Coturnix japonica: one gene and its partner. The protein of the gene in region 1 purifies or fractionates together with the protein of each later gene. This does not show direct contact. Links are inferred from orthologs where the notes say so. Each region holds a gene or a part of one and is shown in the gene's direction. Other genes may lie near its edges.

Evidence for each region.
Region 2: the proteins of DVL1 (region 1) and AXIN1 purify together in Homo sapiens (affinity purification with western blotting; 3 studies listed by BioGRID). This does not show direct contact. The link is inferred for Coturnix japonica from reciprocal best matches to the Homo sapiens genes DVL1 and AXIN1.

Annotation. Positions count from the first base shown.
Region 1 is NC_029536.1:1,915,817-1,920,341, forward strand, and holds the start of DVL1 (segment polarity protein dishevelled homolog DVL-1), read left to right. Parts: upstream 1-1,725; 5' UTR 1,726-2,045; coding exon 2,046-2,215; intron 2,216-4,525. UniProt on the Homo sapiens protein: Participates in Wnt signaling by binding to the cytoplasmic C-terminus of frizzled family members and transducing the Wnt signal to down-stream effectors. Plays a role both in canonical and non-canonical Wnt signaling.
Region 2 is NC_029529.1:10,795,968-10,799,774, forward strand, and holds part of AXIN1 (axin-1), read left to right. Parts: intron 1-2,856; coding exon 2,857-3,410; intron 3,411-3,807. UniProt on the Homo sapiens protein: Component of the beta-catenin destruction complex required for regulating CTNNB1 levels through phosphorylation and ubiquitination, and modulating Wnt-signaling.

The DNA of each region.
Region 1 (4,525 bases):
CAGCTCTCCTAGGTCAGATCCATGAGCAAAAAGGCTTGTGTTACATCCTGCTGCAGCATCTTAATTTTACATGCATTGAGTCCATCTGGTTGAAGTTGCATCCTTCCACTTCTCTTCCTCTTTAAGGATCCTTTCCATGTTTAATTCTCATTCTGCATCGATGCCAATCTTGCTGATGTGAATACAGTGAGATGAAGGGTAGCTGCGTATCTCCAGGTCACTGTGTTTCTAATCTGGAAGGAATCTTCCCTGGCTCATAGGTATCATCCCTTTAGTTCCATAAAATCCACACTGCTGGCCTCCTTGCATGGCCCACCAGCCCTACAAGGGGACGAGAGCTCAGAGCTTTTCTCCTTGTATCCCTTTAAACTAATATGTATTTGCTAAGCACCCAAAGCATGATGAGCTTTTGGAATTCACTGAGACAAGCAGCCACCATCGCTCTAATTCAAAGGAGCCCTTTTCAAAAGGCTCGGCTCTTCTCTGCGTGGTAATGAAGTGAACTGCTGTATAAATGAAGCAAAGGGTGGGCAGCTTTCATGCCTCAGGACACTATCTGCTCCCTGCAGGGGTCAGTGAGACTATTTGCTCTGTCACGGAGAGCACGGCACTAATAGCAAGAGATTTTATGCCTTATATTTATTTTCCACTGAAGTGTTAAGCACTGAACTCTGCAAGAAACGAGATATTAGCCCTGATGGACCAGTGGTTTGCTCAGGTGGCCCATCCTGCATTCCCATGTACACTCTTTAATTGGATTAGCTTGTGGTTTGACTGTGACATGAAAGTGGGTTATCTCTTCGGTGCTTTATAGGGACGTGGAAAGCTTTTTTGTGAGTCATAGATTCAGCCTCATCATATCTGTTCCAAGGTGGTATTCTGACAATTATACGACTCATTATATTTTCAGCCTTCAAAAGCAAAAGGGGAGCCAATAGAGCAGGAGCAGGAGGTCATTAAGTATGAACTGAAGAGACCAAAAGGGCTGGATGGATGGTTATGCTTTGCCTGGGTTTTGTATTGAAAACACTCCATCCCTCAGTGTATCAGAGCACATAGCTGTTGTGTAGTCATCCCAGAGAGCCTTTCCCATTCTTTACCTGGAGCTCCCTACTGTTGTCAGTATCTCTAAAGGCATTTTTTGTATAGACAGTCAACAGTGTCTCCAACCCGTTTCTTCCTTCTCCCCTCCTTTATGATCCTCGTTGCCTATCCTTACAGCTTCCTTTACAAATGCTTTATGTTAACTGGTTTTGCTCCCTCTCCAGCTCATTTCCCTATCCCCCATTAGTCACAGAGAGCCCCACCTTCATTTCCTATTATCTCAATGTAAACTCCAATGACTTCATAAGTAGGTGCACAGGAAACAGGGATGAGTCTTTATTAACACCAAATTGTTCAGATTCATAAATAGGGGACACAGGAAATAGGGATGCGTCTTTATGTTGATCAGAGCCACGAATATCCACGCTTTGTCATTTACAGAAGCTTTGGAGAAGCCAAATGAGCTCATGGTGGGCAGGGAGTCCACAGAACCCACTGTATGCTTTTATTTCCCCCTATTTGGAGGCATCCCTCCGCTCGCAGCCCGTCCCCGCTGCAGTGCCGTCGTGCCGGCGGGGGGCGGCGGGCGAGAGCCGGGTTGTCCACGGGCCGAGAGGCGGCAGGAGGAGGAGGAGGAGGAGAGGATAAGGGGAGAGAAGGAGGAGGAAGAGGAGGAGGAGGAGGGCGGCTCGCCCGCTGCCCCCCCGCTGCCCACCGGCCCCGGGGCTGGGTGCCGCATCGGCCCCGCTGCCCAGCGCGGCGGGGGGCGGCGGGAGGATGTACTCGGGGCGGGAGGCGGCGGTGAAGAAGGGCTGCCGTTCCCGGGTCGGGCAGCTAGAGAGCAGTGCAGGGAGAGGAATCCCGGCCCAGCAGCACGGCGGAGGCCGGGAGATACGAGCTGCCTTCCTGTGTGGGGCGGCCGCGGGCTGGAGGCGCTGAGCGGAGCCCCGGGCCGCGTCCCCTCATCGCATTGCTCGCCCCCCCAGCTCCTCCCTTCTCTCATGGCGGAGACTAAAATCATTTACCACATCGACGAAGAAGAAACCCCTTACCTGGTGAAACTGCCCGTCCCTCCGGAAAAAGTCACTTTAGCTGATTTTAAAAATGTCCTCAGCAACCGGCCCGTGCACAGCTATAAATTCTTCTTCAAATCTATGGATCAGGATTTCGGGTGAGCTGAGGGGCGGTGGAGGTACCGGGAGGGGGATATGAGGGGGGGGGTCGCCGCTCTCCGTTCCCTCTGACAGCCGGGTTTCGGCCCCGGATGGGAGAGCACCTGCTCGGTTGGATGGCGGCGGTCAGGCGCTTATCGCGGTGCTGGGCTGCGTTTGGAAGCTCCATGGAGCTCGGTTCGGGCCCTGCCGGCCGGGTGCGGCCCTGCCCCGAGCCGCGCACTGCGGCACCCGCTGGGCGGTATAGGCCCCGCCGGCACCGGGGGGGAGCGGCGGCCGCTAACATGGCGGCCCGGCGCTGACAGCTCCACACACGGCCCTCGGCTCGTTGCTTGTCCTCGTCCTCCGGGCTGAGGGGAACCAGGCCTGAAAACCTCCTCCCCTTCTGGGGCTGCTGGTGTCGGGTTGTGCTGCTTCTCCTGAGGGCTCTCCCAGCCCACCGGCAGCTGTCAAAGCCCCGAGTACCAGAGCTCGGCTGTCCTCTTCGTACCGGCCTTATCTGTGGTCGCGATAAAGGAAACCCAATAAAAAGGCGTTTGACAGCTCGCCAGACAGTAACTTTCAAAACGTGATGAATCCTTTTGTAGTAAATCGCTTTGTACTCGCATCTGTCGATTTTTTGTTGTTGTTGTTATGTATTTAAATGCCTCGCCAGCAAAAGAGAGCAGGTCTGTGGAATACTAATACAGCCCTGAACCTGTGTAACAGTGGGGTTGGGTGGTGAAACACATCACCCTATTACGTGCCATGCTGGCTTTCCCCTTATCCCTAAGACCCAAAGCTACCCCTGTTCTGCTCCATCCATCCACCAAGGAATGTGGATATTGTTTGTTGCCATGTATTTCTGCTGTGGCAATGTATTAGCCTTGGCACGCCGCTGTAGGAACGCTCCTGCGTTGACTTGTTGTTGTTCTGGATTGTGAAAACCACGTTTAGGAAGCATCTCTATGAAGTGTTGGTTTGCAAAATAGGGCTTTTGAAAACTCCTATTCATAAATCTCTCTCCTTTTTCCCCCCTCTAAGTGATGGACACACGCACACTCTGTAGCTGGCTTAGGAATCCGGGCGCTGTGTTGTTGTGGTGCAGCCTCAATGAAAGCTGATGGATTTGTTCAGACAGCTCTTGTGTTCATCACCACTGCTCTGCAGATGTTTGGTGTGAGGGAGAGTGAAAGCAGTGCTGATGCTGGTGGGTGCGCTGGGGGCATCTCCGGCACGTGTGGGCTGAGCAAGCAATGTAAATCCTATGGTGGATTCTCATTTGTCTCAAAACTTAAAGGGAGATGGGCTGTTCTCCTTGTCTTGCCCTAGAAATGGGGATGGTGGAGGATGAAGGGCTGTGAACTAGGCTTAGCACCATAAATTCTGCCTCTCTCATTTAGGCGGTGGTCTCAGATGCAACCGTGCAATGTGAGGGCTTGTTTGTGAGGGATCATGCAATCGTTAAGGTTGGAAATGACCACTGAGATCATCAAATCCAACCCACCCCCACTGTGCCCCACTCAATGCAGGGGCATCTCCAGGGATGGTGACTCCTGCACTTCCCTGGGCAGGAGGATGACTATGAACTGCGATGCCATCAGGTAGCTTGGAACTGAACGTGAATCAGTTCAGCAGCAAATAGAGGTTTGTGACTTTGGGGCTGTAAAGGCTCAGAGGACCCCCATAGGATGCTGGCAGCTGAATGCACATCTCTAATTCCCATGAAGACTGGCTGCTCTGCCCTCAGGATGAAGGTATGACCAAGGCTGCTGTGATCTGATCTTCATGTGTATTCCAACCAACATCACAGTCCAGGTTAAGGCTCTCAGAGGTGCCGCTCCTGAGGTAGGAACCCATCATCTCAAACAGCTGGAGGTAACCCATGCCTCTAAAAGCTGTCAGTCACATTTTGGACTGTCATTCTCTGCAGTCTCAGCAAGTGTTAATGATAAATTGGGGTTTTTCTCCTAATCTTATCTACAAGCTGATTTTCATACTGTTGCAAATAGGTAATTATAGCTGCAGTCACCACTAGCCATGTGTTGTACGTCTAATTTCTGCCTTGCATACTTGCAGATGCCATCCAAACAAGCTTTATTGCAGTGTGTTCTGTAAATGGCACTTCAGCTACAGTAACACTTTGGTTTTCAGTGCTCTCCTCGCCTGTCCCTCGTGTCACTGCAAGCTGGCTGAGCAGAACTGTGACTTGGCACAGAGAGCATTGCTTGGCAGGGTGCTTTGTAAATCCCAGTATGGAGCAAAAAGTCAATCCTGCGTTAGGAGAGCAAATGTTTTCTTGGAGAAGTGATTGGGAACCAACGCAGCAA
Region 2 (3,807 bases), on another chromosome or scaffold:
AGTCCTCCTCCTCCCATAGCTACATTGCTGCCCCCAGCAGTGCCCAGCTACGTTAGCCCTGCTCTCTACCACCCTGAAGAAGTTGCCAGTAGCAATACCATAAAATCAGCAAATGCCTATGCCAGAGAATAAATTTAAGTCTGTCTAAACATATTTTTGTGTGACTTAATCTATTTTTAATCCCCAGCCTCCCACTATTGCTATGTATTAAACCTCTTTGCTGTCTACAGAATATATTTCATTGACTGGCTGGCATTTAGCATTAACCATTCAGGAAAAACTCAGAGTAAGCAACTGTAGTTTTTTTAGGTCAGTACTTTGGGTGCAAGAGCTGCTGGAATCAGCAAGAGGAGAGCTTGGATCCTCAGAGATCACAGTCCTGAGCACTAGGACTACAGGGTGACCTCTTACTGGTTCTGCATGGCTCATTGCACAGGGGAAACCATACGGCATTACTCACACTGGGCAGTTATCAGCTTAGCAGAGAAGCTGGAAATATTTTGCAAAAGCTTCAAAAAAAAGGTTTCTCCACCCCATACTGGGCTGCCTGCAGGTTCCCTTTCAAAGCCACATCATACAGCAGCATCTGAAAGAGATACCTGATAGAGAACCAGATGTCTTCTGCTGGAAAAAAAATAATAGGATTGTTTTTTTTTAAAGAAAACAACAAACCTAAAAGCTCTGAATTTGTTAATTATGTTGAGCAGGTGCAGGAGGTGATGGGAGGATGCTGCCTTGTTACTTTCTCAGCTGTATGGGAGCTGCAGGACTGCCTCCCAACCCAGTGAGTTTCAAATAAGCCAAGTGCAGGAGAAGTAAAACCATTGCTGAGATGCTCAATATTTGAGTGTAAAACGTTGTCTGAGTAGAGGGAAAATGCACTTTGCTTGAAGATATAAATGCACTCCTGTGCTAGGTGAGCTATTTCAGCCTGGCAGCCTGCAGGTGGGACTGGGAGATGTGGGGAGATGTGAAAGCAAGATATTGCTTATCCATAGCTCAGCAGCGCCTGTTCAGCCTCCCGGCTCCAAGGGAAGGACTCAGGCTGGGCTGTAGAGTAAAAATAGCTCAGCAGGCAGTCGGCAAAGTCGAAGCATCCGTCTCACTGTCGCTGGCTGTGCAAGCTGGCAGAGGATGTGCCTGCCGGTACCACGTCCCCCAAGCACCACCTAGTGGCTGTGCCACCTGAGGCTGCCCGGCACGGGCTGCAGGCAGCAGGGACCTGCATAGGGCACAGCCCTGGGCAGGAGTGGAGGCTGGTCCTCCTGGCTCCTCATGTTTGTGTGCAGCAGGCCCAGAAGTGCCAGGTGAGGGGCTGACTTGTGCCCAGTGCAGCTGCACTGAGCTCCTGGTTGTCTGGGGGGAGCCAACTTCCCAGAGCTTGGTGAAACAGATGAGCTGAGACAGGGCACAGTGAGACAGTGCATCCCTCCCCTTCCCTTAGCCCACCCTGACCTCAGTCCTTGAGCAGAACAATGTGGGTACCAGCCCTAAAAGCCTCCAAAGTATCGAGTGTGTGGCTGTGTTATCATAACCTGCTCATAATCATTTAACTCAGCATTATGGGTTTAGGCTGCACATACTCTGTCTTGTTCCTAAACCAGCTGTGCAGAGATGGGGTTTTACAGGCTGCAGTGTTGTCACTGGAGATGAAAGGTGCTCCTGAAGGTTTTAAAAGCAGTCTGTGAGAAGTGGGCTGTCTCCTGTGGGAATGGGTATCACGTCAGCCTGAGCTCCAGATCTGCAGAGTGACCTGCTGTCATCTGAGTCACTGTAACAGTGCTGCTGTGCTGTGGGATCAGCCTTGTTCCGAGGTGTTTGCACAACAGCCCGTTTCTGATCCCTGCCACATGGTGAGGCGGGTCTGAACAACTTCTGAAGTAGGTTCATATTGCAGAGAGAGGGGAATGTAAAGAGAAAACATTTGCAGTTCTCTGCCATGTTCCGCACCTGATTCATCTGCTGGGACTCGTTCTGTTGCATGCTTTTGCTCTGGGCAGCCCTGCTCTGCTCCTACCAGCTCTGAGCTCACCATGCTGCTCGGAGGGCTGGGCAGCAGCGTGGCCCCCTGGAGGAGCTGCTGGCAGAGGGCACAGCAGGCGCCCACATCTTCGGTGCTTTCAAAGGCTGCCATTGTCCTTGGCTGAGTTCTGAACCCCCAGGTGTGACGTGGGGAGGAAGTCTGTTATTTGCTTTCTCGCACTGTGGTTGGCAGCTGAGACTTTGAAGCTGAATAGCAAGTGATGGATGGGGACATCCGACAGGCAGAGCTGGTGGGAGGCAGTGTTTTCCAGCAGATGCACTTATCTGGCAGGGCAGAGATACCACACGCTGCAAATGATTCTCTGCTCCAAAGGAAGAAAAGAGAGCGGGATTAAAGCACTTGCATGGAATCCTACTTATGTAATTTTTAACAAATAAGAAGCCTGTTTTCCAATGAAGAAACTTCATAAATATTTGAGTTTATGTTGGAGCATAAAATCGTTTGTCAGCATCAAAACTGTGGCTGTCAGCACGGAGGAGTTTTATTCTTCCTGGCACAGCTGTAAGAGCCACTAACAGCAGCGTGTCCGAGGCTGCTGTGGGCCACGAGAGCAAGCAGGCAGTTACAGCCATTTCTTTATCTGCGTGGAGGGTTTGGCTGCAGTGTCAGTGGCTACAGGAAGGTGCCACAGCCTGGGGCAGGGCTCCAAAGAAGGGAACATCTCTCTATGTTGAACATATTCACAACATGGCTGGCCAAAGCCAAGGGTGACCCATCCGTGTGTTGGTAACAGTCGTGCTGTGAGCAGGAAGACCCCACAGACTTCTTCTGCCACCTTGCTGTCATTATAATTGTCCTCTTGTTTCTTGCAGGAAGAAGAAGGCGAGGATGCAGATCTCTCTTCTGGTCCTTCAGTCCTCAGCCACAAGATGCCTTCCGCCCAACCTTTTCATCACTTTGCCCCTCGCTACTCCGAGATGGGCTGTGCTGGGATGCAGATGAGAGATGCACATGAAGAAAACCCAGAAAGCATCCTGGATGAACACGTGCAACGTGTGATGAAAACACCAGGCTGTCAGTCTCCAGGCCCCGGCCGCCATTCGCCCAAGCCACGGTCTCCAGAAAGTGGCCACTTAGGGAAGCTGTCAGGGACACTTGGAACGATTCCTCCAGGGCATGGCAAACACACAACGAAATCAGGAATGAAACTGGATGCAGCTAACTTATACCACCATAAACATGTCTACCACCACATCCATCACCACAGCATGATGAAACCAAAAGAGCAAATTGAGGCCGAGGCCACTCAGAGAGTGCAGAACAGCTTTGCTTGGAATGTAGATTCACATAACTATGCAACAAAGTCAAGAAACTACTCTGAAAACTTGGGCATGGCCCCTGTCCCCATGGACTCTTTAGGCTACAGGTGAGTAGGGCAGCAGGGTGGCTGGGCCATATTTTCTTACAGGACGTGGCTTAAGGGCCTCCCACTGCGCTTCCTTTCAGAAATGAATATGCTTCCTAACAGCACTTAAAATCTCTGTGACCTGGTGATGAAATCCTCTAACCAGGATTTTTACTGGCCTTGGCTATAAAGTAGCACTTCTGCTCCTTAAAGCAGCAGAGGTGCTGGGGCTTCCCTGTGCTTTGGGAGGTGATAAAAGTAGGGCTGTGTCTCGGGATCTGGGTAACAGAAACCAGGTTCTTAAGCTGTTTATGAGAGAACAAAAAGGTTCATCTTTTTGCAAGGCCTGTTTTATTCACCAGAAGGTTTCCTTTCTCTTCCTGGCTAAGCAGTGGATGTTCTGGTGCTGCTGTGGCCT